Astyanax mexicanus: one gene and its partner. The protein of the gene in region 2 binds, or shares a complex with, the protein of the main gene of each other region. Links are inferred from orthologs where the notes say so. Each region holds a gene or a part of one and is shown on either strand. Other genes may lie near its edges. The genes, in order: spata5l1 and cyclin-dependent kinase 2-interacting protein.

Region 1 (15,001 bases), on a different chromosome or scaffold from region 2:
CAGTTATCAAATAGTCTAACTGGCAAAAATGTGTTAAAAATTTGCTAGCGAGCATAAATATTAGACTCTGGAGCAATAGACAAAGATAATGTCTTCTGATGAGTCCAGATTGACCCTGTTCCAGAGTGATGGAGCATCAGGGTAAGAATAGTGGAGGCTGAAGTGATGCACCCATCATGCATCAGGCTAACCTGTATATACTGAATATAGACCAGGTTATTCCATTAATGGATTTTATCTTCCCTGATGATATGGCCATATTCCAAGACGATTAATGTCAGGATTCATGGGGCTGGAATTGTGAGTGATTCAGGGAGCATGAGCTCATTTTATTATCATTATCATTTTCACACATGGATTGAGAGAGAGTTCACCACAGAGTCCAGACCTTAACCTCATTAAGAATCATTGGGATGTGCTGGAGAAGACTTTGTGCAGTGCTCCAAATCTCCCATCATCAGAAAAAGATCTTGGGGAAAATTAAGTGCAACTCTGGATGCTTGTGGAAATTATGCCACAGTGAATGTGTACCATAAACAAAGATAAATCTGAAAGTGTGTGATCTTTTTCTTGTCCAGGCAGTGTATTATTCAGTAGAGTATATTGGGATAAGTATATGCCTGCTACTTAAATATTCTTCAAAAATGGTTAAATCCCCTTTCTGAGACTGTGTGCAGGACTGTGTAAATCTCTGTACCTGCTTTAGTTTGAGTTTGACGTCTTCCAGCCCCCCTATTCGCTCCCAGCTGACAGGCTGAAAGTCGGCCACGCCCACACTGCTGCGCAGACAGGAGGGTGGGACTAACCTCAGAGCTCTGTCGAAATGCTCCTGCCCCACAGACTCATTTGTGTTCTCAGCTCCACCCTGTGAAACAACACACAGCAGCACAAAGTAATGTTTTACAATCAGTAATAGTCACATCTCAGGGCACGCAAGGTCACATACCATTCAAATTATATCAAACACTTCATGCTACAAGTATTTCTACTTTAATCTTGGATGCACAGAAGGCATTATTAATAAGTTGGGGAGCATATCTGATAGAAATTTCTGTATTTTTTAAATACTGCAATATATATTGCAAAAAGACAACATATCACAAGATCATGCAGCCCTGGTGGAGGTGAACTATGATATTGCCACTATCAGCACATAATTCATTATTAGCTTAAGTGATGCTGTGTTTACTGCACTATTGCACTAAAAAACTGTATTTACCATATTTCTCGCACTATAAGGCGCACTTAAAATCCTTTAACGAATTTTATCAGTCAGGTTGTAAGGAGCAGTAAAGCCACTACGCTGAAGTCCAGCATTATAAAGGAGTTTCAGTTAAGTTTCTCCAGTACCTAAGCAGAAGCAGTATTAGCATTAGCCGCTTACTGCGCTAAGCACTAGCTCTTTCACCGTTCAGGATTGAATATATCAAACTGTAGCCTGCGCGTTTACTGAGTAAAAACAAGCTACCCTTAAGAACCGTAAGCTAATATTGCCCTGGCTAACTGAAACACTCCAGGTTCCGCAATGTAGCACTATTAAGCAGCATTTACTAGCTCTAACTGTGGCTAGCGGTTAGCCGCTAATGCTGCTGCAACCAACCTCAGTGAAAATCTGCAAAACTAAGCTTGCTGTAAATAAACGAAAGCGCTTTTCTAACCCAAATAAACAGATTTCAGGAGCAAAATCCGTACAAATTAACATCCAGTGATTGTTTGACACTATTTTAAAAAAATAGTGTGGAAAATAAGTAAATTTTACAGTACCCTATATATTTGGACCAACCTTCTTATTCAAGGTTTTTCGTTCTTTAATTTTTTTTCTATTGTCAAGACTACTTTTCCACCATGACATTAATTCAGGGACACATATGGAATTACTTAGTAAACACTCAAAAAGTCCCTTGATCTAAAGCTGATGAACTGAGATGGTGAATTGAGGTGATTTGTTTGGGATGAGCTGGAGCTTCACAACATGAAGGAAAAGCAGCAACTATTGTTCAGCACCTCCAGAAACTCCTTCCTTCAAGACGCTGAGAAAACTATTCCAGGTGACTCTCCCTCGTGAAGACACTGAGATTAAAATACCAAGAGTGTTCAGATCTGTCCTCAAAGATAAATGTGCCACTTAGAAGAATCTAAAGTATAAAACATATTCTGATTTGTTTAATACTTTTTAGTTACAGAATAATTCAGTATGTGTTCATTTATAGCTTTAATTTCTTAAATGTCCTAAAGTCATAAAGTGCAGCACTGAACTATATTGATATGTTGGGCCTCAGTACGTTGGGTATAGTAGGTTTACTTTTTTTTACTGTTAACTCAATTATTTTACAATATACAGTTATATATATAGCATGTGTGTTTATGTGTGTGTTTTTTACCTGTGCAGTGTGCAGTATAGCCTGCAGCGCTGCCTCCCTACAGAGCGCGCTCAGATCAGCTCCAACATAACCAGTGGTCATCTCAGCGATGGTCTGCAGGTCCACAGTAGAAGACAGTGGTAAACCACGGCTCACACACTGCAGAATCCGGAACCTCTGCTGTAACGTGGGAACACCCACCACCACCTGAACATGCACACACATTTATCACAATATTTAATATTAGCTCACTCTGCTTTACATGGACAAAATACTGGGATATTTCTCCATTCATTGTTCCCTCCTAAATCAAGAGAGGTTACAATGCTCTCGTAAATAATTGTTTCAAAGACAGAATTTAATTGCCTTCTGGATAAAGAGTGTTCATGAGGTCAGAAAGTAAGATTGTCACACCCCACTTCACTTGTACAAGAGTTCAAAATACATCTAATAGAGCAGCAGTTCTCAAACTGGGGCCATAATGAGGCACAAAGGGGGATGCAGCATGATCATTTATCATTATGTTATGTGGATATATATTAAAGGGGACATATTAAGCAAAAATCACTTTTTTGTTCTTTTGTATTTCCACTTGGGTCTCAACTGCCTCTATAAACCCTTTAACACTCCAAGCATGGATTTTTTTTTCCTGTGAATCAGCTAAGAGTTTGGTGACAGAAATCATATGCTTTTATAAGCCATTTGGATGCTCCCTTATTGTGACATCACAATAAGGAAACCTGCATAGGACCAGGGCCCCACCCACCAGATCAGTTGAAGAAACATTACTTTGGTCTGCTTAAGATTAGTGCTGGACGATATGGCCAAAATTTATATCACAATATATATTCCTTCATTTCGGTCGATAAGATATAATTTTGATATCGATATAAATACTTTGAAGGCCTCAGAAAAACTGCTAAGAATCCCTGCAATTGATATCTGTACACTACTGTCTGAAAATTAATTTAAGTCTTTAAATCCTCTCAAAAAAAGCGAACTTTAGAAATACTTTAGAAATAAAAAATGGTTAGAATAAATCAATGCTCACTTTAATTTGCATGTAGCAAAATAAAAATATGAGATCTCTGTCAAACATAAACCTATAACCTATACACATATTACCAATATAAATAACTTTACATTACAACAGAGGCAGAGCTTCTTATTTTTTTGTAAACATATTTAACAGATCAAAACAAAAGTGCTTCAACCAGGATAGGGAATACAAAAAGCCTTCATATACATAAAGAGAACATGATATCCCTGTCAAATAAACAAACCTATATCAACTATAAATAACTTAGATACAACATAAACTACAAAAGTGCTTCAGATATTGTGTGTAGTGCTTGAAGTGGTGGAACAGACCGGACCGGAGCGCAGTCGAGCTTCATCGCGGGACATTCTAGGTGCGGAGCGGAGCTGAGATCCGCTCGGTTAGGGTCGGTTTCGCTTCATCGCGGGTGGGTTTTAGGTGCGGTGCGGAGCGGAGCGCGGCCGAGATCCGTTTGGTTAGGGTTGGTTTCTCTTCAATACGGGAGATTTTAGGTGCGGAGCGGAGCACAGCCGAGATCCGCTCAGCTAGGGTCGGTTTTGCTTCATCGCGGGAGGTTTTAGATGGGGAGCGCAGCCGAGCTTCATCGCGGGACATTTAGCAATGCGGAGTGGAGTGGAGCCGACCCAGGCCTAGCCTAGCCTAGCCACGTGCCTGTATGATTACGTCATTATGCACTGACGTAGCCCGGCTACGTAGGCTGTTTGTGTTCAGCTCTGCAGTGAACTGACACCTCAAAAAAAACGCCTGTCTGTGAAAGATTCTGAAAATAACACATATCGATACGCCACAAAAATGATATCACCGTTATTAAAACATTTCTTATCGTGATGAATACCGATATCAAAATATTGTCTAGGGCTACTTAAGATCCTCGTACACATCAGGATTAGAGATCAGACTTCTTCTGAAGAAGGGATCTGTATCTACTCTCCGTAGCAAGTCAGTAGGAAGATGGAAGTACAGCTATGCATCAGAGGCAAAAGCTTTTATGGATTTATTGCAAGTGACGGAGCCCTTAAACGGCTCACTCTAAAAGGGACTGAAACTGGTAAGAACAGAGGTGGTGGGATGCCTTTATGCTAGAGTGAATTTGTGCAAAGAACTTCATGAACTTGTTTTGTTTTGGCCATAGACCTGTTCTAACTTGTGTTTTTTACTGGAGGTAAAGTGGGTGGCTAGGGGCCACAGTTTAAGAATGAAAAAGTTTGAGAATTGTTGCAATGGGAAGCTTTAATCTATTAGTAGTGTAGAGATGACAGCGCAAATTTAGCGAAAATAGTTGTCTGATGCGAACCACACAACATTCAAGTACAATTTAAATGGATTTAATTAGACAACACTTCATGCATCCATGTGTTAAAAAGAAATTTTATTTTTAAAATTATGAACTTTACCTCTCTGTCGAACCGGCCAGGTCTCCTGAGGGCCGGGTCCAGTGTGTCAGGCTGATTGGTCGCTGCGATGATGATGAAACTTTCATCGCTGCCGATCCCATCCATGAGCGTCAGCAGCTGAGCTACGATACGATTTTCTGGAGTGCTGCCAGATTCACTCCTCCTCGGACAGAGAGCATCGATCTCATCAATAAACAAAACACATGGACCGTCCAGCGCCGCCGCCCGAGCACGGTCGAACGCCCTGCGCAGGTTCTCTTCGCTCTCTCCAGGGCGTGACCCCACCACCACAGGGCCGTTTATGGTCACCAGCGCTGCTCCGACTTTCTGCACCACATTTCGGACCAGCTGGGTCTTTCCCACCCCTGGCGGCCCCACCAACAGCGCCCCCCGTGGACAGGGCAGGCCTAGACGCTTTAAGCTGCCTGGATAGTGCAGCGGAACCGTTAGCATCTCTTTTAGAGAAGAAAGCACCTCCTCGACTCCGCCCAAGGGCACAGAAGGAGTCTTTCTCAAAGCCTGTCTGTACTTCTGAACTGTCTGAACCGAGCTCAAGTCCAGGCGGGTCTCGGCAGTGACCAGTCCAGCTTTTTGCGAGCCAGAGTTCACCTTCTCCACCTCTATGAACTGAATCTGAGTCCCAGCTCTCGCAACACTCACCAAGTGCTTCTCGTGCACATACAGACCCATCAGTAGCTCCTTTGCGAGCTCCTGAATGTACTGGATGGGCTCAGTTTCAGAACTCTGCACCAGAACCTTCACAGACAAGCGCTTAAGACGTGGGCAGGTTAGTGGCTTAATTTTCATCCTCTGGAGGCACTGGAGTTTCATTAAATTGATATTGAATCCAGCGTAGCTGTTTTCAGACTGAGGCGTTGGTTGGGTGCTGAGCTTCATTGCATCATAGTTGATGAGGTTTACTCCAGCGCAGGTGGTTTGGAACTGCAGGTATCCATTAGCGAGGTCACTCCGAGGCCATGCGGTGCAGAGGCAGGACCCCCGGGGCAGCAGGATGAGAAGCGGAGAACCCAGCTTCAGCCCCAGCTCCTCCATCACTGCAGGACCCAGACGACATCTCTGAGTGCCAGCGTCCACAGAGTCTGGCGGCAACACCACCAGATCTCCGTCTTCCACAGGAGGCATCTTCTGGATCTGGGGGGTTACAACAGCATCCATAAGACCTAGAACATAACACACAACAGGTCACAGAAGGGTCATATTATTCAGAGCAGATACAATTCACACAGCATACTTAAAACACAAACACATGATGCATTTAAGATGTTCTTACCATGTCAGAATTCAAATAGTTACAAAATTGTTTTGTAAGGCCCCCCCAGATATTTGGTCTTTGTCCATTCTTTGCTGAGCAGAGTGAAGATATTTTCAAACGTTCTGATTGGCTCTTTGAGTTATGTAAAACCATCAGATTGCTTTGAGCTGTTAGATAAAGAAGTGCACGTTCTGTCTGTGTGAACATTAGAAGCAGGTACAGTATCCCACAAAAGTGAGCACAGCCCTCACACATTTGTAAATATTTTATTATAACACTAAATATATGACACTTTGATACAGTGTAAAGTAGTCAGTGTACAGCTCTGTGGAGTCAAATGCTTGTCTCGCTGTGTCCTACCTGGAGAAAAATGAGAACAGCATCTAAGCAGCAAACACCAATTACTGTGTCTAACTTGTGCAATAGAGCATATGAGAAATCTGGGAATCTTTTTAAATACTTAAATATTAGGTGTTTTAGGTCCATTTATAGTGTTTACGGAACTATTTAAAATACCTAGTTTTAAGTAAGCCGTGTTAAAGTTGTTGGTGTATATCCTTTTTTTTTTTTTTTTCTATTTTTTCCCATTTGCTCCCCAATTTACACAGCCAATTACCCAACCCATTCATTAGGGACTTCCCCTATCACTAGCGATACCTCAACACACCAGGAGGGTGAAGACTAACACATGCTTCCTCAGATACATGTGAAGTCAGCCACCGCTTCTTTTCGAGCTGCTGCTGATGCAGCATTGCCGAGTAGCCAGCACGCTTGGAGGAAAGCACAGCGGCTCGGTTCTGGTACATCAGCTCACAGACGCCCTGTGCTGCAGACATCACCATAGGAGTGATGTGGGGAAAGAGCGCCATCTACCCACCCGGAGGGAGCTCCCTCTAACGCCAGCAGCTTGATGGCAAAGCTGCATGAGCTGGGGTTCGAACCGGCGACCTCCTGCTCATAGTGGCAGCGCTTTAGACCGCTGGACCACTCGGCGCCGGTGTATATCTTATATCTTTTAAGGTCTATAATTTAAATACTTCAGCTGTTTTTCTAATAATTAAGTCTGATTTCGTCATATATTATGTACTTTTGTGGGACAAAGTAAAAGCAACAGTAATCAAAGCATTAATTTAAAGACTTAATGTTTTATATTATATATATTTATATATATATATATATACTCCTAACAGTGTGGGTTATAAAGTGGAGAAAGTGACACTGTGCACTAGAGAGGGGCCCTAGTTAGACAGCTGATTTCTAATTAGAGCGCGACCTCCAATACACTACACACACAGCTCCGGCCACGCGCTCCGTATAAACACCCTGACTATATCCCACTGATCCAGTGATGATAATTAATCTTACCTTCAGCCGCCCCGCGCGGCTTCACTCCGCGACATGCTGCTGTGTTTACCTGTCCTGTAGGGAAAGCATGGAGCCCGCGCTCTTACTCTACCGCTGAGCAAACACTCACTGCTGCCCCCACCGGCCTGGAGTGAGAGCAGAAGCGAGGCTTTTGGGTAATCAAATCAAATGAATCAATTGGTTCGGAAAAAGATTCGATCTAGTGAGTCGTTCGAATCACTCCTTTATTACAGTGGCATCTGCTGGTCAATCAGGGTCATTATAACGACTCCTTTTCTGACTGTTTAAGGCTAAATGCAAAAATAGAAAATTGTATGTAAAAAAAAATCATTATTTCTTTTTTTATGTAGTGCAGTGTACAAGAAATAAGTTTTCATCCATTTTTCCAATTTATTTTTTCATCTCTGCACCTTACAAATGTATTTTTAGGGAAAAAAAGAACAAAGAATATATATTTTTCCTCATTTTTCCATTTTTGCATTTTGCAAGGATTATTATTATACCTTAAGATTTGTGTTGCAAGGTACACAATTTACAACTCTGAAAATTGAGAGAAGATTCACTTTTTCATTCTGTTTGCCAAAGGTTGAAATAAAAATTTATATAAATGACAAATTGGATGAATAACCATTTCTTCTTCATTCTACTGAATATAAAAAAAATAATGATTAAGTTCTATTACCAATTTTCTATTTTCGAATTTTGCTTGATGCAGTCACAGAAATTAAACTGCTAAACTTTACACTGACCAATTTATCTTTAAGACCAAAATTATCCCAGATCCCCCAATTAAGACTTCAAACCCCCTTAAGGGATAAAACAATAGTTTGGTCAAAACATTTAAATATACTTCAAACATATAAAGTTAAAAACTACAAAAACAATGTATCTGTGCCTGGAAGAATATTGTGATACGATTTCAATCTCCCCTAAAGTGGATCATACCATTCCATCTTAATAATAATCATTCCTCTTCTTTACCTGCTGCTGCCTCATTATTTGTCATGTGGCTAATTGTGTCTAGGTTAAGGTACACAAGCTGCTCGAGATACAGCATTACAAGTAAGTAGCTTCTATCTACTTATCTTTTTATAAATAAGCACTTTAAACACACTTTTCCTTACAGAAATAACTCACATGAATTTACTATCCCACCTTAAATGCTGCCAATTTACCATTCCGCCTTAAATGCTGCTGTAGCGGCACTCAGGCTTCAGGCGTTTTTAAGGTAGAACCGAAGATTCAAATGGGAATCCACGTTCTGTTTTATTTGAACTGTTTTTCTGTGATTTCTGCACAACCTGAGCAGAAATGTGTAAAACTTTTAAAACACTTTATTATCTACTACAGTCTAAAGAGGAAACTGTGTTTTAACGTAGAGAAAATGTGTTTTAATGCAGGGAAACTGTTAAGGTGGAATGGAAATGTGTTTTAAGGTGGAATGGAAATGTGAACAAGAAACTAAAAGCTTTATACGCTGCAGTGAGTTAGACCTAGTGAAGAATTAACATTAGTTACGCAGATGAGCAGTTGAGCAGATGAACAGTAAACTGGTTTATTACAATTTTTTAAAGGTAAGACTTATTTTCTAATCTTTTTACTATGCTACTTTAAAAATTAACAGTAGCCAAGCCTTTTAAATGGCTTTAGCCGAGCTATATAAATGCATTCCTACATATCTCCCCTTAACATTTAATATTGTAGTCCCAGAGTCAAAATATGTGGATGAGATGAGGAACAAAAGTCTTCTCTACAGGGTTTTTACATTGTTATTTTATATTTATTTAGAATGAAATAATACATGATTCCTGTGGGAGAGATCCTATAGAATATAAATTAAAATGTAATGGTAAGAAAGCTGATTAAAGATAGCATCTGATAGCATTGTGTCTGTGTGTTTTTGCAGGATTAACTGTGGATAATATATTATTTATATGTATAAAGGTTATTGTGTGGTATATAAGTGCTACATTAGCTGATGTTTATACATTAGTAATGGTTTTATATTTAATGTGTTGTAGACATTACAGTAAGGAAGTGAGACACTGTAAGGATTATAAGACTTCAGTTTAGTGAAGCAGCACCTAAGCTGTACTGGTTTCCATTTACACCCTGGGCCAGTTGGAGACATTTTAACTGTACAATCATCCACTTTTCTAGTTGATCATACTATTATTGATTGATCATGTGGTGTTTTTGTGCTGTTGGTTCCGTCATAAGACACTTTGCAAGAAGTTCTTTGCAGTTTTTACGTCAGATAAAGTCAAATAAAGTTGATATGTGAAATGGTCAGTGTGATCAGATTACTTTGTACGTGGTCTCTGTCATTTATATTTTCTTCTGGTCTGAATCTCATCCATATATGGTTGGTTGTAGTCAATTTGACAAAATGTGTTTTTTTAGTTTAGTTTTATAGAACATAAGGGAACGTAACCACAGCATACAGTAACAGAATGGAACTGTTGTGTCGCTCAGGCAGTGGTAAAAGTCTATAAACACTGTTGAGGATGTAGATAAGGTTCATAAGCTTTTTATCACGTGATCTGCTATTTATAGCAGAGATAGAGGGCCATGCTGAAACTGTGGAGAAGGAGAAAGCAAGGACAGTGTTTCTATTACACACCAGTATTCTGATAATACACCACCCATCTCTGTGTGTTTCCCTCTTCCAGAGGAGCCTGTGAGCAATACGAGTGGAAAAATCAACCAATCCTTTTATGGAGCGTGCCCTGCAGTTTCTCAGACCGTGTGTGTGTGTGTGTGTGAGTGATTGAGAGAGAGAGAGAAAGAGAGAGAGAGAGAGAGAGAGAGCGTTGTATAAAGAGCATTAAAGGGCTCATATCATAGATAAATGAAAAAAAAGATAATTAAAGAGTATTCTACAATGAGTATGATATATAACTATATATAACTAATCTACAAAAGCATCACCTTTGGAATAGAGTGTGTTTGTGATGTCACACAGTAAAATCCATAGTATTAAAAACACAATGAAAACATATTTTTCCCTTTTGAGTATTAACATATACTATTTCTATACTAGCATTAGTTAAATGTGTAATTTAATATTTTTTTTCTTTACAAACATGAATTAAGTAAAGAACTTAACTAATTTTAATAAATTACTTTTTATGTATAGAAATCAAAGATTTATGTTTATCATATGTACTGTTGTACAGTAAAAAAAAAATAATAGTTATTTCTTTTTTCATCCACCATCCAGTTAAAATATGTAATGTTAAAATTCTTTAAATGTTAAATGTATATTTTTAAACTTGATGTGAATATTTAAGTTGTAATACAAATGACATATCTGCACTGCATAATGCTATCTATTCTAATCGCCAGGTAACATATAAATATAAAATCACACACACACACAGGACTTAAAGGAAGAACAAGAATAAAAACTCTCTACATAAAAAAAGTAATTAAAAATGTAACCAAATGGGCACAGAGTGTTCCAGCACTCTAAAGTGCTGCCAATATGATTGGAAGATTGCTGGTTCAAATCCAGCTTGCCATCAGCTGCCGGAGCTCTGAGAGCACAGTTGACCTTGCTTGCTCTGGGTAAGTAGATAGCATTCTCTCCCCACATCACTTTAAAGGGTGATGTTGATCAGCACAAGGCCTCTGTGAGCTGATGTATCAGAACCGAGTCGCTGCGCTTTCTTCCGAGTGTGCTATGATGCTACTCAACAATGCTGGATCAGCAGCAGTTAAAAAAAGACGGAGTCTGATTTTGCATGTGTCGAAAGAGGCGTGTGCTGGTTTTTTACCCTCCTTGTGTTGTGGCATCATCAGTGATGGGGGGGATATACAGCTGAATGTGTGGGAAAATTGGCCTAGCTAAATTGGGAGAAAAACAGGAGAAAATTTAAGTAAAATTATTGGAAAGAATCCATTCCACACGATCGATAGGAGAATACACATACCACTGAAAGCAGGAGGAGGTGAAATCAGCCCCATTACCATCTCACAATGTCCAATTTTTACTAAAACCTATTTTTTTTGGGTTATATGCCCATGTTCTTTTTTCTTTTTTTTTCCATGTTTAGCTGTTTTATTTTTTCAACTTTTTAGCTATATTCCCTCTATCACTAGTAATGCCCCAACACCAGAAGGGTGAACTGAACTGAACTGCTGCTGATGTAGCATTGTCTAGTAGCATCACAGCGCTAACACTCCGAGAAAAGCGCCTTGTGCTGATCAACATCACCCTAAGAGTGCCATCTACGCACCCAGAGAGAGCAAGGCCAATTGAGCTATCTTGGACTCTGGCAGCTGATGGCAAGCTACATGATCGGGATTTCGAAGCACCACTCGGAGCCTGTTAAATGAACGTTCAATAAAACAATTGAATATTAGGAGTAAACTTTGACTTATTTACGGAACAATGTTATTCCTAGTTATTCCCAGTAATCGTGTATTAGCAACAGGCTGGTAAATATATGGACTAGAGAAATGAGGACTTGTTGAATTGTTGAATCTGTCTGTAAAATAGTCATTCATTTAAGTCTCTTTTATAAGTAAAATTATGTGTATTTTTAACACCAGAATGGTGTAAATTGCATCTAATTCATAAAAAAAATTATGCCCCCAACACCCCCCCATGGAATGTTCTCAGAACATTCCTGGAACATATTAAAGCAATCATACGCTAGAGGTTCGTGCTATAATGTGTAAAATTGGCCCTGCTGTGCTGCAGTCGCGCCTGTATTAAACAAGTATATTATTGCGATTATACCACAGTTCCAGTATCGCTGTTTAATGTAGGATTTTGAGTTAAAAAGAACAAGAAAATATGATCTGTTTGGTTATAAAACAGTCAGGCTGGCTTGAAAACACTGCATCGTTGCTAGGTTACCTGTTTGTGGTGCAGTAATACATGAAGAGCTTCAATTACAGTGCATTACTGGCTGATAATGGCATTCACAGAAAGCCCCTCGGCCAATCACATTGCAGGTTCGGAACTAACTGTGGTATAATATACTGTATAATATAACATTACGTGCAAAAAAAATAATAAACGTTTTTATAACGTTCTCTGTTCGCTGGGGAGTATAGACACAGTGATCTGAGTTTGTTATTGTAAGGTCAAATTTCCAGATTTTGCTTGAAGGTGGGTAAAACTAAGTTAAGAGACTCAAAATGAGGAGTACTAAAAGTTTAGATTAGATTTAAGATGGATTCACTTGCTCAGGGATCATTTTTCACTGTGTGACTGTGAGTATGACTGGAGGCCCTACGCCTGTGTGTGTGTGTGTGTATGTGTGTGTGTTTGTATGTGCGCATGTTAGAGTTTCTTGGCACTGCGCTCCAGTTCTTCGTCATGCTGTGAGTTCTCGCGTTGTCGTCTCTCTGTGTGTAAGTGTGTGTGTGTGAGAGAGTGTGTGTGTGAGCCGGCTGTGTCCTGCTCTCCCTCTAATGTCACAGGGGCCGTGGGCAGGCCTGCAGGCGGAGAAGGGCTCTGAGAAGAAGGACAGCATATAGATAAAAAGAAAAAAAGGCAGATAGAGAGGAATAAAGAGGTAGAGAAAGAAGAAGATGAGCACAGGTGTCTAAAAAGAGCTAAAAAGAGCTGCCTTAGATCTTCTGCCTACAGGACGCAGGCCGGCACGGTCAGAAGAGTGTGTAGAGTGTGTGTGTGGAGTGTGTGAGGCATGTCCGTGCTGCTCCGCCGAGTGCCCTTGCTCCCACAGGAGGCCCTGTGGAAAATCAAACATTTCCATAACGCTCCTGCACTGTGGAACCAACAGGCTGCTAAAGGTAGGAGAGATTTTACACCACAATAATACTTAATAATACTTTACATTTAAGTTTTACACACTTATACACTTCTAAATATCTCAATATCACCCAATACCTTTATACTGCTTTGACACTTGTATGAAAAACTAATTTTTATACTCGTACAACTTTTACGGAACTTGCTTAAATACTATATATACACATTGTTTACACATATTTTACACTTTAACATATTAACAATACTTTAAACTACCTTTACACTATTTTGGCCATTCATTTACACTGCATTTATACAGCTACCACTTACAGCTACACATAACATACACACTTATTTACACTGTATTCATATACTCTCTACATTCATGCTCTCATATCTGGTTCAGGTAAGGTCAGTCTGAAGCAGTTTTAAAGAAGGTTTTGTATTTTTGATTCTGCTAAACCACTAATACACACTGACCCCACTTTATAAGTAAATATCCTGTAGATGAACACTGATGGCTGCTGCACGTTTAGTTCTTGTGCTCTGTAAACGTAACAGCAGTTATAAAAGAGAGGTCAGATAAAGGTGAAATCCAACCTGACTGCTATAGCCGCGATTTCCCCCTTCAGACCTTCATGCTGGGGGTTATCTGCTGAGATTGAGTGTGTGTGAAGTGTGTAGTGTATCTACTATAACCCCTTTGTTTTTGGAGGAATGATTATTTTGCATTATTCCGGCTGTGTCTCGGTGCAGGCCGGGCTTTGCTGGGTTTTTGCCAGCCAGCTGCTAATAATGTCCCGCAGTCAGTGGAGGCCGCCATGCCGGTTATGGGGAGAAATGTGAAAGCTGAGCCGGGTAGCGGACCGGTGCCAGGCAGGGCACAGGCCGCCTCACTCACTTTTTCAATACTGCTTCAGCTGACTATGTTTCACTATACTTACAAATCACTATTTACATACAGCTCTGGAAAAAAATTAGAGCACTTTAGTTTCTGAATCAGTTTTTCAGAATTTTGCAATTTATAGATTTGTTTGAGAAAAATGAACATTTTACTACGGACAAAATTCCAAATAAAAATATTGTCATTTAGAGAATTTATTAGCAGTTAGGGCTGCCACGATTAGTCGACTAGTCACTATTATGTCGACTATTAAAATAGTCGACGACTAATTTAATAGTCGATTAGTCGTTTTTTTTTTTTTTCTTTGTTTTTCTCTCCAAACTGCTGCGACTGCCTTTCTGTCCTGGACGCACATGCGCAGTAGTGGAAACCGGGGTAGGTAGTGGACGACATCTCAGGACATTATACAGACAGGCTCTGGTTTCATGGCTACCCCGCTACAGAACTCAAAAGTGTGGGATCACCAAGAAAATAAAAGTGAAACTCGTGCAATGCAATATCTGCAATGAAGAACTTGCCTTCCTCGGCAGCACAACCGCGATGCACAAGCACCTGAAAAGGAGGCATGTTGTGGCTGATTAAATGACGAAGAAGCTAAATTGCTATTTAGCTGCTAAAATTTGCGTAAACAGAGCGTTAACTTAGTACTTAACTTACTCATCTTGATAGCTTTAAAACAGAGGTCACTAATAGGCGGACCGCGATCCGGATCCGGACCCAGACGTTGTCACAAATGCCGTCCCAAACCTGTAAACTACAGAGAAGGATTTCATTCTGACAGTGGCTTCTGTTTTCAGTGCTTTTCGGTGCAGTAAACTCACAGATCAGTCATGTGTGGTGTAAAATCACCAAACGCTCTCCTCTGCCAATCAGATCTGTGCAGACCGCTGCCCTGTGTACGGTAATGTACACAATAT
Region 2 (16,129 bases):
TAACAGTGCTAGCTGGGGTTAGCAGCAGGCTACAGGCCGAGATACTAACCTTTGAACGGCGAAAGAGCTAGCATATAGTGCGGTTAGTGGCTAATGCTACGAATGCTCACAATGCATATATAAATTTAAATAACTTATATGGCTATTTAGAACTTGTTTATTTAGTGCTAAAAAATTGTATTTTGATTTTTGATACCATTGTTTCAAAAAGTAAAAGTTGTAATTAAAAATTAGTAAAAAGGAAAAAAAATTAAATGTGTCTTAAATGTGTTCTTTCTATTTTTTTTATTTTATTTTATTATTTTTTTTTACTGCATTGCCATAGTATTGGATCAGGACTTAAGACTCAAATGACTCAACAAAAAAAATATATATATTATTATTAAAAATAATAGTGTTATTTGAAATTTTTTTAGAGATCACTTCTTCTCATAATTATAATTATTGAGGTTGTTGTTTTTATTGTTAAAAATGTGATATTAAATAAATTTAAACTAATATAAATGACTTTTTAAAGGTCTTAAAATCTCTGGGTATATCTGATCCTCCGAGTGCACTGACGCACCTGAACTCCACTGTGGGACAGCCAGGTACAGCCCGGCCGAACCAGGCCGTGAAGAGCCTGCGCAGTATTGAGGTGAGAAAATGGATTTATTTAACATTTTCGGTGAAATCATGTTTTATAATGCTGTAAAAGCCCAGAGATAAATGTTTAGCCCTAGACCTTCTTATAAGCTGTGTCATCTTAGTATTTACAGTATAGAACGCTATGAATTTCTTTTAATGTTCAAGAAACCGGTCTGTCATCATTAGGGCTGAGTATCGAAAATCGATATCAAAAAGGCCCCGACCAAAATGTGTCGGTTAGTTCTTGTTTTTTTTTGTGTTTTGTGCTAAAAAAAGAACATTTGTGCTGTCTCTCTTCTCTCATTCGCTCTCTCAACCACTCACTCTCTCACTCACTCGCACAGTCTTCCTCTCTCTCTCTCTCTCTTTACTCTGAGCTATTATAATACAGTAAAAAATTATCTAGTCTGCGAGAAGTAAACAAAACCACACTATTATTACGGTCCCCTCATAATATTACTGTAAAATACCGGAACAAAATAATAATTGATTATTTTAATTCATTTTAAGTGATTGACACCAATAATATAAATATTATTTAATTATGCCAGACTGATGCTGCTGATATTACTTAAAAATAACTTTAAAAAATGAAATTCATCCAGTAATACGCTTCGGGAAAAATATTTGGAGTTTAAGTGGCTAAAGTTGGCTAATGCTGCTGTAGCCTCTCATGGCGACAGTATGAGAGTGATTGATTGATTGATTGATTGATTATTGTTACTCATGTTGGCTGTTAAATAAATCTGTATTGTTTAAAAATGTATTGTTTTTTGTTTGCAATTTAATAAGGGTATCAAAAAAAAGTAATGTTTAGGTATCAATATTGAACATTTTGAAACAATACTCAGCCCTAGTCATCGAGATGTTTTTAATTGTTTCTTCTTGTTCTTTCTGTTTTTCAGAATACTAAAATGCTACCGCCTGCGAAGAGATTTAAAATGGAAAACTGCGTTGAGAAAAACTCAAACTCAGAGATGGTTAATCAGAACGGCATCCAGAAGGAGGAATCTGCTGACGGTTCCTCAGAACTGCGCGAGCCTCAGTTGGTTTTGACTCGTCTGGAGAACATTAATTCTGATCCTGTGGCTGGAGAAGAGTCGACAGACTCGGATAATAAAGCACAGGAAGAAAGGACTGAAGAAGAGGAACCGATGGACACGGCAGATGCTCCTCACGAATCGGAGGACGTCAGACTTCAGGAAGACGCTCAGGAGCAGGTTTCTGAGGTTCTGACCAGCGGAGAAAGTGTGGATGTTTCAGATCAGATGGAACAGCTGGAGCAGGCCCTGAGCACAGACGCTGAACACGAGAGCGGCGCTCCTCAGGAGACAGCGGGAGATCTACAGGACGGAAACTGTGATCCTCCAGACGTGGGCAGCTTGAGTGAGGTAGAAACTGTGGGAGAAGCTGTTGAGAGTCAGGAGATACAGCCTGGCCATGCTGAGGAGGTTTTCATTCAGACAGCAGAGGGCCTGGTGAGGCAGAGCGCTGAAGAACTCGCCTCTAAAGGTATCGTGATTGTGAACGGGCCTGATGGCACCACCATGCATATAGAGGCACCGGAAGGGGTTCCTTTAGAAACTGTCCACGCTCTGCTCGGTATTGAAACTGAGAGAACGACTTGAGGAGGGAGTTCCAGCTTCCCAAACTCATCTGTAATTGGTCATCCACTCCGAGCACACTGTCTGTCTGCATTGTGGTCTTTTCCAGTGTTTTTTTCAAGGAACTTTTTATTGCGATTCTTTGTAAATTTGTAAAAAAACAAAACAAAAGTATTATCATTATTGTAGATTAGCCCATTGTTTCAGTTTAGTCTTTTTGTTAAATGTGAGATCCTGAGATTTAGGAGTTTGACACGGACTTGTTACCTTCACATTTCTTTATTTCTTTATTCTAGCTGCCAAACGTTTTACTTCTCCCCCCACCTCCCCCTCGAGCAGCAGCGCTGGGATGCAGGCGTACACACCTCCGTTCCATGAATTTGGGTTTGTGTGTATTATATAATTATATATATATATATAATTCAGACTGGAAGTTTAAGTTCTACTACAGCATGGAAGAGAAGAAGGTTGGTTGAATGCTGAGCTGAGTTTGAGTAGTACCGGTTCACGACTCGTTTGTATTAAACCTCGTTTGAGGATTGAGGTTTAATGGAGTTTGATTCAGATGTGCTTCGTGGGAAAAAGTGTTAAAAACAAACTTTAGATCTGAGAAACACACACAGGAAGAAGAAAGGGGACGAACATGTCTTAAGTGTCTGAAGTCCCGGTTGACCTCTTTTGATAAGTGTTTCATTGTTACATGTTAAATAGTAGTTTGTCCAGTTCAATGGTTGTTTAAAAAAGAAAAAGAAGAAGAAATATTTTATTACTTTTTATATAATCTTTGGGCATACTGTGTTTTTTCAAAACATCTCGACATTTGTAATACCAAGGGGGAAAAAAAGTTGAGCAGATGACATTAAAACAATTAAATCTTTGCGAGTGAGCTTTTGGAATTGAGGCTTTACTCTATACAGAAGTGCCTGATATCCACACTAAAAAACTACTAAAATGTGTTTACGTGTTTATTTCATTGGTTAATAATATACTAGTGCATCTCAAAAATGAAGAGTATCATTGAAAAGTTTATTTATTACTTTATTTCAGTAATTCAGTTAAAAATGTGAAGCATTTTAAGTTTTTATTTCTTTTATTGTTGATGATTGTTAATGGTTTACAGCCAATGAAAATCCAAAAATCAGTGTCTTGGAAAATGTAAATATTATACAAGACCAATTGCCAGTGTGCCAAGTCCTGCTGGAAAATGAAATCTGTCAGTAGAGGGAAGCATAGAGTGCTGTAAGATTGTTTTGGACTTGATATAACACAGTGGACCAACACCAGCAGATGCCATGTTCCCTCTGCTGACAACTTTTATAGAGATGCAGATTTCATTTTCCAGCAGGATTTGGCACACTGCCCACACTGCCAAATGTACCAATTGATCTTATATAATATTCTAATTTTCTGATGCACTTATTTTTGGGTTTTCATTGGCTGTAAGCTTCATAATCATTAATTAAATAAATAAACACTTAAAATACATCATTCTGTGTTTAATATATCTATATAATATATACATTACATTTTGATATATATTACGTTTTACATTTTGAACTGAATTACTGAAATAAAGTAACATTTTCTTTTAAATGATATCCTAATATTTTGATATATTGATATATTAGTACATCTATTCCTGTGGTTCAGGGTTCAAACATTTTTTCCAGAAATAAGGTGGATGTGTTTGTTAAATTTTATTGTTTTAAAATTCTCCACACATTGTCTAATGGCTGCAGTTCATTCTATACATCTGTGGTAAGTAGAGACTCCTGTCAGTGTGTCTAAAGGTTAGATTCACAATTCACTTCCTGCTGCTGAAGGATATTTGAGAATTTAATCAGATTTACAGTAACAGAAGTCAGTGATCCAGAATGATCAGTAATGATACTACTAATAATAATAATAATAATGCACTCCAGATATCTTCATATATCCAGGATTAAAGTAAAATAAATGATACTGGACAGATATAATCTGTATCTAGTAGATATATAATGGGAAATGAGAACAGTGTGAATTTTTCTTTTGATAAAAACAGTAAAATAATAAAAGTAGTACCCTGATGTGATAATTAGGGGTGGATGATTATAGCACCATATTTCAGGGTATAGTAAATATCCTAGCATGGTCATAGATTCATTTCAATATGTTATATTGGGTTTCTAAACATGCATCAGTGAGACATTCATCTTCTCCCCCCTTTATTATTCATCCATTCCTGTTTAATAAAAGTCCTCAGGCAGTGTGGAAAAACTGCCACAGATAGAAATCACAGAGCTCTGTGGCCTGTTTCCATTAGTAAACTCTCTAACGTCAGTTTTGTGTTGTCCTCAACGTAGGGCTGATACAGCCAACAGGACAGGTAGACCATAGACAGGTGAGTGTTGGTGGTGTGGGCCAGTTCCTGCAGGATGGTTCTCTTCAGGGCCAGCTCCTGTTTGTAAGCCTCATAAAGCTTAGAAGACACTTCAGCTGCAGTGAACAGAAAAAAAATGAAAGTTCAGTTTCTGAATCAGTTTCTCTGATTTTGCTATTTATAGGTTTATGTTTGAGTAAAATGAACATTGTTGTTTTATTCTATAAACTACAGACAACATTTCTCCCAAATTCCAAATAAAAATATTCTCATTTAGAGCATTTATTTACAGAAAATGAGAAATGACTGAAATAACAAAAAAGATGCAGAGCTTTCAGACCTCAAATAATGCAAAGAAAACAAGTTCATATTCATAAAGTTTGAAGAGTTCAGAAATAATCAATATTTGGTGGAATAATCCTGGTTTTTAATCAGTTTTAATGTTTTTATGCATCTTGGCATCATGTTCTCCTCCACCAGTCTTACACACTGCTTTTGGATAACTTTATGCTGCTTTACTCCTGGTGCAAAAATTCAATTTGGTAAAATCAAGGAAACATCATATTTAAGTGATGATATATTTTAATAACCCTGCCTCCTATTGGATAATAATTACTGCATGGCCGATTTATCTTAAAGTCTTATAACTCCCAACTGGTGCAATGAGCTGCTTCTCTTTTCTTAAACAACCATATGGAAATATACTGCGATCCTGTGTTCGTGGAAAAGATGTCAAACTGTTTGAGAAGGGTCAAATATTATTGGCATCATGCATCAATAATGCAGAGAAAACATCTAAAGAGATTTTAGCAGAAACTAGTAAAATTGGGGTAATAACTGTCCAATGCTTTATTGTTAAAAACTGGATGCTTAAAAAAGACCCATCATCTACGAGGAAGAAATGTGGCCCGGAAAAAAAAGTCCTGAATGATAGTGATCAGCAATCACCAACAGTAGAACTCAGGGCTATGTTGTGTAATAGTGAAGGTAAGAGCTTTTCCATGCACACAATGCAGTGAAGGGAACTGAAGGGATAAAAGCTGTGTAGCTTTAAGAAAACCACTAATCAGTGAGGATAACCAGTAAAAAGGCTTTAATTTGCTAGAGATCCTAAAGATTGGACTCTGGAGCAATTAAAGAAGGTCAAGTGATGGCCTATTGAGTCCAGATTAACCCTATTTCAGTGTTGGTATTATTCTTACCAAACTGTTGGGTAGACCAGGTTTGGAACAGTGGCGCTGGTCTTCCTTGCACTCCAAACTGAAACATCTCCAAATTATACACTCCTCTCTCATTAGAGACAATCTTCTCCATCTTCAGCAGAATGTGGGCCTTTGGAGATAGGAATACACAACTATATGTTACAGAGCATTCATAAAACATCATAATTACTTCTGCATTGCACAAACAGTGGTATGAAAACGTTTGGGAATCCCCTGATAATTTTCTTTAATGATTTTCCTTTATACATCATTGGTTGTTGGGATCAGTAATTTCAGTTAAATATATCATATAGCAGACGAACACAGTGATATTTGAAAAGTTAAATAAAGTTAATAGGATTTACAGAATCTTACCATTTTATCTACAATGTTCTGTAGATTGACGCATTCCTCCTCCAGCTCCGGGTTGCTCTGGTGCGCTCTCCTCTCTGAAGGAGCTTCTGATGAACCTTCATCTACCAACACTATATCTGGTTCCTTCACAGACCTGTACCCAAAACAACAGATAACATGAAGAGCAGAAAATCTGAACAGAGACACATCAGAAAAATACATACTTTATATATACAGCTCTGTAGAAGAATAAGAGAGCACCTAAAAATGATGAGTTTCTTTGATTTTACCAAATTAAAAACCTCTGGAATATAATCAAGAGGAAGATGGATGATCACAAACCATCAAACCACCAAACTGAACTGCTTGAATTTTTGCACCAGGAGTAAAGCAGCATAAAGTTATCCAAAAGCAGTGTGTAAGACTGGTGGAGGAGAACATGATGCAGAGATGCATGACAAAAAACTGTGATTAAAAACTCTAAATGAGAATATTTTTATTTGTAATTTGGGAGAAATGTTGTCTGTAGTTTATAGAATAAAACAACAATGTTCATTTTACTCAAACATAAACCTATAAATAGCAAAATCAGAAACTGATTCAGAAACTGAAGTGCTCTTGCTGTAAATATTATATACATTTATGTTCAAAAACAGAACCCAACGTTTCACTTATTCTGTAGTTGACAATTTTGTTTGCGATGGCCGATCCCTCATCAGTCAGGCGCTCCCACTTCAGGATCAGGTTGTGCCAGTCTGCAGCGTTGTCCTTCAGTTTTCTTGCGCTTCCAGTTAAATTGCCTTTTCTTCCAGGGGGCGTGGCCTCAGAGTGTTTTTCTGATTAAACACGTTTTTTTACATAGAAGAAAAAACAGCTGTATTTAGGGATGATGCTGCAAACAAGCTTACAAAACACAGTATAAGGCAAAATATGTTAACTATCAGGTCATATGAAAAAAAAGGCTTTAAAACCCACAGGAATACTATGTTTTATTTATGAAAAAATAATACATTTTTTCTTTATTTTCTTACTAAAGATTATTATTGGATTAAAGGAACTTTGATGTAATATTCAGTTTCTTTACAGGCATTAATGTACAGATAAGCATGCTTTATTACTCTCTGGCCATGACTTATTTATCTAATTCCCACGAATTATTAAGTTGTGGCCACACATCTTGTTCCCACGCATTATGTTTTTATTCCCATGCCTTAGTAATTAATTATCTCTATTATCTTGTTCTCATGCCTTAATAAGTTGTGGCCACAACTTAATTATTTGAATCACATGCCTTTATAAGCTGTGGCTACACATTAGTTTCTCATTCCCGAGAGTTAATACGTTATGGCCACACATTAGGATCACATTCCCATGCCTTAGTAATTAATTATCTCTTAATTATCTCATTCATACGCAAAAAAACATTATAATCTCGTTCCCATGCCTTATTAAGTCATGGCCACGCATAAGAATCTCATTCTCATGCCTTAATAAGTTGTGGCCACGCATTAGGGTCTAATTTCCACACCTTAATCTGTTTTTTAAGCTTGTGTTCACACTTATGTATAATAACAGTAATTCAGCCTTTGTGGAAAATCTAGAACATTGAATTAACATATCTAGATATACTTTCCCAAAATTTGCTGAAATACTGAATAATTACATCTGAAAAAAAAAAAATAAAAAAACAGCATCTTAAAAATAACATTTCAGTAGAGGTGGGTTACCCAGGTCCAGAAAGTAAAAATCCACCCCAGGGTTTTGTAGCTGAGCTGCAGCAGAGCCGCCCAGGCAGTGAGTACTAAACCCCGGGGTGGATTTTTACTTTCTCGACCTGGGTTACTCACCTCTACATTTCAGTGAGTAAAAACAGTGTTTATATAGCAGGAGTTTATTACAACTCCTGCTATTATTCAACACTGAAACAACAACAGACATTACACTAACCACATTTCAGTGTTAAAGGTAGTTAAAGGTTTTCTTACCGTTCATTTTTGCTCGGTTGTTTCATTAATAAAGAGAAAATTATATTTTTAATCCTGTTTAAACTGTTTTCACTGCATGCCGGACCTGTTTCTTCCTCTCTATCCTCCTCATTACACACTAAACTCATTACTGCCCCCTACAGCACAGACCCGCTTTACACCGTGTTATTATTACCAGTTAATATAAATAATATAAAAAACACCCATATTAATGTACTATTATAATATAAAATATACTGTATATCTGTATTAGTCCCTAAAATTTCTCTCTCAAGCCACCTCCAGACAGCCTGTAACTGTTTTAGTTGAGTTTTTTCTTTTACCCTTTTCATTTCTTTTGTTTTTTTATTTATCAAATTTTATATTTTACCTTTTAGCCTTTTTATTCATATCATCCCTTTATTTTGTTTTATTACTGGTTTTACTTTTGCCCTTTTACATTTTTATTTAATTTCTCTCGTCCTTTTTTTTATTTTATTATATATATATATATTAATATTAATATTAATTTCAACTATCTACAAATGTGGAGGTAAAAAAAATCCGTAACACTAAATTTGACCACTTTTTTCCAAAGAATCATGATTTTTGGTTGAAATTCTGGTGATACTGTTATTACCAGACTTAATAGTTAAATGCTAAAGACAATATTTTGTGTATGATTTTCACTACTTCAAAAAAGGTCTGCTCTCAGGCTTTTGGAAATCTTGAAGAATAGAATAGAATATATTTATTTGTTTATTTGCAGTGCAGTGATTTGTGTTTTTTTAGTTCAATATATATTGAACAGTTCAACAGTCTTAATCTGTGTGAAGTGAAAGAATACACAAAAAAAGAAAAAAACAAACCATGTCTATTGCAAAGGAAGTCATGGAGATTACTAATAGAAAAATACACATGGCCGATGTTCACATTAGAAGTGAAGCTGAAGTGACTCAGATTTTCTGCTCCGATCAGATTTTTTCATGGCTGTGTGAACGTGTTAAATCAGATTGTAATGTGAACGTAGCCATGATGTTCATTTGCAGTAGTTTCTACATTATTGAAAGAAGGACAGTATTACTGAGCAGTTTGCCAGTTTACCACTGGAAGTGCTTTTATTCTTTTATTGTAAACCTTTTTAAACAACAGAGACATAATCATAATCCACGATGATTGAGCTTTATGAGAGAGGGAGACCCTCTGTGCCGGATCTCTGACGGGGGGTCAGTTGGTGTGTGTGGGGTGCTGGTTGCTGGCGTGTGATTGGGGCTGGTTGCTGTCGCTCATGGTAACTGCGTCTCCTGAGGACTGGGACTGGTACAGTTTATAAAAACGCTTCGCCAGGTGATCGGCCTCCTCCACCCCCTCGCAGCTCATCTGCCAGCTCCGGGGAACCGCCTCGATGCCGTAGTGTGCCCCGGCAATGGCGCCCGCCATGCAGGCGATGGTGTCGGTGTCTCCTCCCAGGGCCAAGCTGTAGGCTATTGTCCTCTCCAGGCCACCGTAGCGCTCGGGCAGGCCCTCCCGAGGCTCCAGACAGTGCAGAACGCAGAAGATAGCTGTGGGGACTGACTGCAGTGCTGCAATGCCATTTCCTGCACACAGAGAGCTTATTAGCACAAGACAAAGACTGAAAAGAGATAAAAATAAAAAAAAGTCACACAGTATAAATCATATGCACTTATTTGCACTTATTACACAATTTGTATTTGTATTTGTATTTGATCCCCTACCAACCATTAAGAGTTCAGGCTCCTACAGACCAGTTAGACGCTCCAAATTAACTCACTACATGCATTAAAGACAGCATTTCTCAGGGGGTTCTGGGATGATTTTCTCTTTTTGGGGGTTTTTTATCCTCTGTGATTTTATTCCCGTCCAGAACGACCATGTATGTGCTTCACAGACGTCCTTTGAGAAAATTACAGGCTGAGTGACCTACTGTACCTGAATACTACCTACAGGGCATCCTTCATCATGAGGAAGGTAACAGATCAGCCTAAAACTGCAAAGGAGGGAACTTGTTAATGATCTCAAGGTAGCTGGGACCACAGTTGCCTATAAAACCATTGGGGACATATTACGCTGAATGTAGGTGTGCTGGGTGGGTTAGTGCTGGTGATAAAACTATCTACTTGTACAAATAAAAGAAAGTGTATTTTAGCTTCTTATTTTTTCTACAGCTCTGTTCTAACATTTTACCTTTTAAATGGTTTAATTAAAAGTTGTACATTCTATACCTAACTACTTCAGACCTGATTTTAAGAATGCAATGTAAAATCCAAGCAGTAAAACTGCTGTTCTGTCATTTATGTTGCGTCATGATTTTAATCTTAAATATTTAAAGCCATGCTCAGTGAATTTATCTGATTTAATTTTAAATAATGGTATCAATAAGAACACAGAATTTCATGAAAATAACATCTCTCCAACTGTCTGTACTATAGAACCTTGTGTATATGAGTATAGAAGTGTTTAGAAGTGTAATATAACTATTTTTTTATTTTTGTTTATTTTATTTTATTACTATACATTTGAACAGGATATCATGGTGGCCTCAGTCAGCACACAAACAACGAAATAAGAACAAAGAAATAACATCGTGAGCAAACAAGATACTAACCAAGTTCGGATATGACCTCTTCAACGCTCACGCTGCTCCTCTCTATCAGCTCCTTCACTCGGTGTAATCGTGCGCAGTACGGAAACTCTGCTAAATTCAGCCTGTAAAATAATATATATATATAAATATTGCAGAACTTTCAAGGCTCGAAAAACAGAACGTTAAAATTCAAGCATTTTTTAGGATTTCAAACACCCGTACAAACCCTGGTTATTAGTCTTATCAGAAATCTTATGTAATTAACTATTTCTATATACTTCTCAGTATTATAAATGTTTTCTATTTACTGCTGTAATCACCTTCTCCACACAACACAAATAAAACAGTTCTATGAAGAGTTAATAACTCACGCTTTAGCGTCACGCTGGGCCGAATCCTCTTTTTCCACGACCTCCATCTCAGAGATGAGTCTGTTGATGAATTCCTGTGGCAGGGACAGGACGCCCTGCAGAGACAGGTGGACAGCGAGACCCTGCAGCACGGCGCCGTTGTAGCCCAAAGAGCAGGAGTGTGTGAGCATCGCACCGAGCCTGGAGTACTGCCATACACACAAAACATTAGCTTCACAATTATAATTCAGCTACAATTAAATAACTATCATTATGACGTTTTATATATTTTTCAATTCTGCTCAATTCCGCATCCAGGACCGAATTCGGGCTCCGTTAATATGCTGTCAGTACAAACACTCACTCCACAAAGCTGCGCTTTACTACAGTCAGGGTTCATACAGTTTTTAACTGAAAAATATCTATGATTTTACATGTCTTTTCCATGCCTTTCAGGCAAATTTTCATGACCATACAATTTCTAAAACATCCGTGCAGACATGGACAATAAACCAGAAATTAACTAAAACTATAATTAAAATAGATTACAGTAGGCCTAAAGTTAATTTAATTTAAAAGCAATGTTAATACACAATTTTCAATAATAAAATGTGTGTCGAATCCTGAGAGCTCCATCATGCAGGGCTTAATTACTTAACTAATTCTGAGCTGATGTATTTGTTAGCTCAAAATAGCTTCTCTCCGTTGATAGATAAAAAAAAACAGCAACACAAAGATTTGTAGTTAAAAAACTGGGTATTTTTATTTTTCCAAAACTTATTCAGGCCTGGAAATATACTGAAAAGGAGATAATATGATAAGTCGAAGCATTCATAAATAAAGTTAAACAAAGGAACCAATCACACAACCCCACACATAGCAACAGGAGCGGATAGCTTTCAAACCTGTTCTTAAAATTATTCTTTTAATTCAGTGTTTCATTCATTTCGCCAAGAGTATCGAAATCGTATAGCGAAAATACCATAAAATATTGTGATATTATTTTAGGACCATATCGCCCACCCCTAGTGCTTTGTAATAGGCCTTAAGTCATATATTTATCACTCAGCTGCTCTAATATTAGCCATTGTGTATAATATGTGTACAATATAATTAAATAATATTAGGCCTCACTTTCCGCACTTCAGCTGCGCTTCTGAAGGCGAGGGCGAAAGGTGCCACTCTCATTGCTCCACCATTCCCAAATGATCCACGTCCTCCGAACTGAGCCCGAGCCGGCTGAAACACGTCGCTGAGCTGAGGAGACGCGAGCTTCCGCAACACCTGAATGACCCCTGACCCATAGCCCCGGCCCGGGGCGAGACTGTACTCCTTCGCAAAACTGGAAATACAGAATTAAGAGTAACAGAATGAAAATAAAAACACAACTAAACATAAGCACAGTCCTGAAACTGACGCCATATCTGAACATACCTGCGAGCCATGTCCTGCTCATCAAACCCCACCCGGGTCAGCAGTGAATCAGCCACACAGCGCATCATAGCCGTATCATCACTGTACTGTAGTATACCTGAAAAAAGAGAAAATTTAATAATGAGTTGACTTCATGCCTTCTTAAATAATTAAAAAAAGAGTTTTCATGCATCTTGGCATCATGTTCTCCTCCACCAGTCTTACACACTGCTTTTGGATAACTTTATGCTGCTTTACTCCTGGTGTAAAAATTCAAGCAGTTCAACCTCTGGGAAACAAAAGAGGGCACCTAAAAATAATGATTTTCTTTGATTTTACCTAATTGAAAACCTCTGGAATATAATCAAGAGGAAGATGGATGATCACAAACCATCAAACCACCAAACTGAACTGCTTGAATTGTTGCACCAGGAGTAAAGCAGCATAAAGTTATCCAAAAGCAGTGTGTAAGACTGGTGGAGGAGAACATGATGCCAAGATGCATAAAATTAAACTGTGATTAAAAACTTTTGGAGTTATTCCACCAAATATTGATTATTTCTGAACTCTTAAAACTTTATGAATATGAACTTGTTTTCTTTGCATTATTTGAGGTCTGAAAGCTCTGCGTCTTTTTTGTTATTTCAGTCATTTCTCATTTTCTGTAAATAAATGCTCTAAATGAGAATATTTTTATTTGGAATTTGGGAGAAATGTTGTCTGTAGTTTATCGAATAAAACACCAATGATTTTAAATCATTTTACTCGAACATAAACCTATAAATAGCAAAATCTTTAATTCAGTGTATGAGAATAAACATACACTTAAAAAAGTACAGGCCTGTTTCTCCAGTGTTGATGTGTATTATGTGGAGTATGTGGGTGGGGGTGGGTGTGGGATTGGTTTACTTTCAGTTTTACTCTTAGTGCATATTTTTAAAAGCATAATTAAAGGTTCAGAAATCCCTAACACATAAACACTGACAACAATCCCTCCAGCACAATAATATATAACATAACATAGCTTAGCTGCTTTAGCTACATACTACAGGTATGCTACAGGGTATATAGAGACACGCAGCAGTAGTGATTGTGTGATCAGATCTGTCACTAATAGTGAAATAAAATGAAATAAAGTGTAATAAAGCCTCACCGTCCCCCCGGGACTCGTCCTCCACCCCGCTGAGGTGCTGCAGGACCCGGTCCAGAGGAACATCCTCCGCTCCTTCAAACTCTCCCCCGATACAATCCCCCAGTACAGCCGCCACCAGCGCGCCGCGGAACCGCGACAGGGTCGACACCGGCCCGCCGACTGCAGCTAACCGAGCCGCGGCCGACATACTCGGGCTGCCCGCTGTAATAAACACCGCGAGTCTGGGTCTCTTCCAGCCCTGACTCACACAGCAGAACCGCGGGTCCGCCGTGACATCTGTGATTCTCTTCCTACCGGGACTGGGCTGTCATTGTCTGACCTGCTTATTTACCGTAAAACACCTAATATAAGCACCAAAAAATACAGTATTTTCACTACAACATCAAGTGATCAAAAAACAGTGTTACAACAAATGCACTTCAATTCAAAAGAGTCCAATTTACTACAACAGGGTTCGGCTGGGCGACACAATAAAAAAGTGTCCATCTGCTAAAATCCTCTTTTTCTGGTTCTTTGTGAAATACAGTAAGTATATGATGCTGCACATGATGAAACTCTTCCTCAAACTCTTCCTCATTGTTCTGCAGCAGCTAGTAAAAGAAAATATTCAGAAAAACAAAACGAGTAAATCAGGAAAAGCACCGTGTCTACATCAATCTGTGAATTAGTATTCATGTCCCCGCCCACCTTGTAAACCTAACTATAGGTTTAAATAGGATCTCCGGAGGATTTGGTGTTTTACAGAGACTCTAAGACTAGGTCAGTATAGGCTGAACTGCACTTAGCAGGATTAGCATTATTACACATGTTGTAAAGTAACATATGAAAAGGCAAAGACTGTTATTAGTGTTAAATTGTTTTATTTTAAAATGTTTTTAAAACTGTTGTCCATCTCGCTGGCTCGCAGTGCTGTTAGCCAATGAGCGGCGATATGTTTGCATGTATGAATATTCATAAGCAAGAGCCGTATATTTATGTAAGAGACATGTATAGACATACAAGACAATGAGACACTGAAAAAAAATAGGAAAGAAATAAGCCAATGTAAACAATAGTGAAATATAAAATAGAAAGCTTGAATTTAATTGAAAAGGCTGATTAAGTGAATGTACATACAGTTCTTTATAAATTATTTGCATTTGTGGAAAAGCCAGTACCAGTGAAAAATAACAGTATTGAAGAAAATAAGTTTTAGTTTGGCTATATTTTTTTTATTAATGGCAAAAAAAACAGTTCTCTCTTAATTCAGCTCCATAATTCTACTTTGACTTCATTAAAAAAAAAAAAAAAAAAAACATTTATTAGGGCAACAACTACAACTGCATAATCTTTAACACAGTTTAATATTACCTGACAAATTTGCATGCATACACAGCTAGTTACGGTAGATTGTTTGGAAAACTGAAGACTCGGACTCGCACTCGGAACCGACTCATGAAGGAATTAATGGAATCGATTCAAAACACCTACGTGTTCATGGCATTTTGTCTATTTATTTAATTGTACTGCAGATAAATAGTCATCTCGTTGTACAGTGAAGCTCTACATTGGTATAATTACGACTAAGTTAAACTGAGTTGCACAAAATAAATCGTTGAATCATACATTTGATTCAAACAAGTCGAATCGGTTCACTGATTCAAGCTTCCCGTCGGTACTGTGAGCAGTTCAGCGAGGCGGGCTGTTCAAACAGTGGCTAGTAGAAAATTAGCGAAATGCTAAAGCTACACTGCTAAAACCTCACCGCTGAAAGAGTTTAATGGTGTTTTTATTGGCACTGGAAATGTTTTAAGTTGGTATTTGGATGAAAAATTGGGGTTAAAGTCAAACATCTAGGTAAACTTTTGTTTTTCTGTCGGTTAATCAGTTATTTAGCGTTAGCTAGGTTAGCTAACTAGTTAGCTTAGCTTAGCTTTGCAAGTTATAAATAGGTTAACTACTGGGTTAGCTGTATTTTTTTAACAGGCAACACTGCCTAAAATAACTTATATTAACTTAATTTAAATATATATCTCTCCTGTTTTAGTTCTACATTTAAAAACAGGTAAAGTTAGCTTTTAAATATGTGGGACCCCACTCCGTACTCTGTGACTCCAGCAGCAAGAGTCTTATCCAGGTGTGTTCACTCCGGCACAATGTCTCAGGTAAGATAAAGCAACATAATACTCAGCCTCTAAGGTGACATCATGTTAAATAAAAAAATAATACGTGGCCACGACTTCATAGCTGGTACACAACCGACCTTCAGCGTTGACAAATGGTTTAAATATGGTTGAAGTAATGTCTTGTTATTTTAATTCTGAAACAATGTTAAAACAACATTTAATGTTAAATGGTTGTGCTAACGTTGACATTTTAACATTGATTAAACATTATGTCCTCAACCTTCTGCCTTTTGAATTAGCATTTTACAATTAATCCCAATCCCAGTGCAATTTCTAAAAACGGTTGAATTAGTTTTACTGTTGTGTTATTGAGGTAAAAAAAAATAATAATCT

What was found.
Region 1: cyclin-dependent kinase 2-interacting protein (region 2) and spata5l1 share a complex: the UniProt entries of both Homo sapiens proteins name them as parts of the 55LCC heterohexameric ATPase complex. The link is inferred for Astyanax mexicanus from reciprocal best matches to the Homo sapiens genes CINP and AFG2B.

The regions. Positions count from the first base shown.
Region 1 is NC_064416.1:44,361,621-44,376,621, reverse strand, and holds the start of spata5l1 (spermatogenesis-associated protein 5-like protein 1), read right to left. Parts: upstream 7,561-15,001; 5' UTR 7,453-7,560; intron 5,996-7,452; 5' UTR 5,991-5,995; coding exon 4,815-5,990; intron 2,568-4,814; coding exon 2,382-2,567; intron 866-2,381; coding exon 698-865; intron 1-697. UniProt on the Homo sapiens protein: ATP-dependent chaperone part of the 55LCC heterohexameric ATPase complex which is chromatin-associated and promotes replisome proteostasis to maintain replication fork progression and genome stability.
Region 2 is NC_064421.1:48,594,015-48,610,143, forward strand, and holds cyclin-dependent kinase 2-interacting protein, read right to left. Parts: upstream 8,266-16,129; 5' UTR 8,139-8,265; coding exon 8,132-8,138; intron 6,983-8,131; coding exon 6,811-6,982; intron 6,301-6,810; coding exon 6,168-6,300; intron 5,923-6,167; coding exon 5,793-5,922; intron 4,707-5,792; coding exon 4,504-4,706; 3' UTR 4,423-4,503; downstream 1-4,422. Other genes in the region: uncharacterized protein znf839, read left to right, coding at 518-637, 1,533-2,255; adprs (ADP-ribosylhydrolase ARH3), read right to left, coding at 9,338-9,708, 10,737-10,837, 11,087-11,274, 12,200-12,407, 12,500-12,596, 13,632-13,818; haus2 (HAUS augmin-like complex subunit 2), read left to right, coding at 15,695-15,775. UniProt on the Homo sapiens protein: Component of the DNA replication complex, which interacts with two kinases, CDK2 and CDC7, thereby providing a functional and physical link between CDK2 and CDC7 during firing of the origins of replication.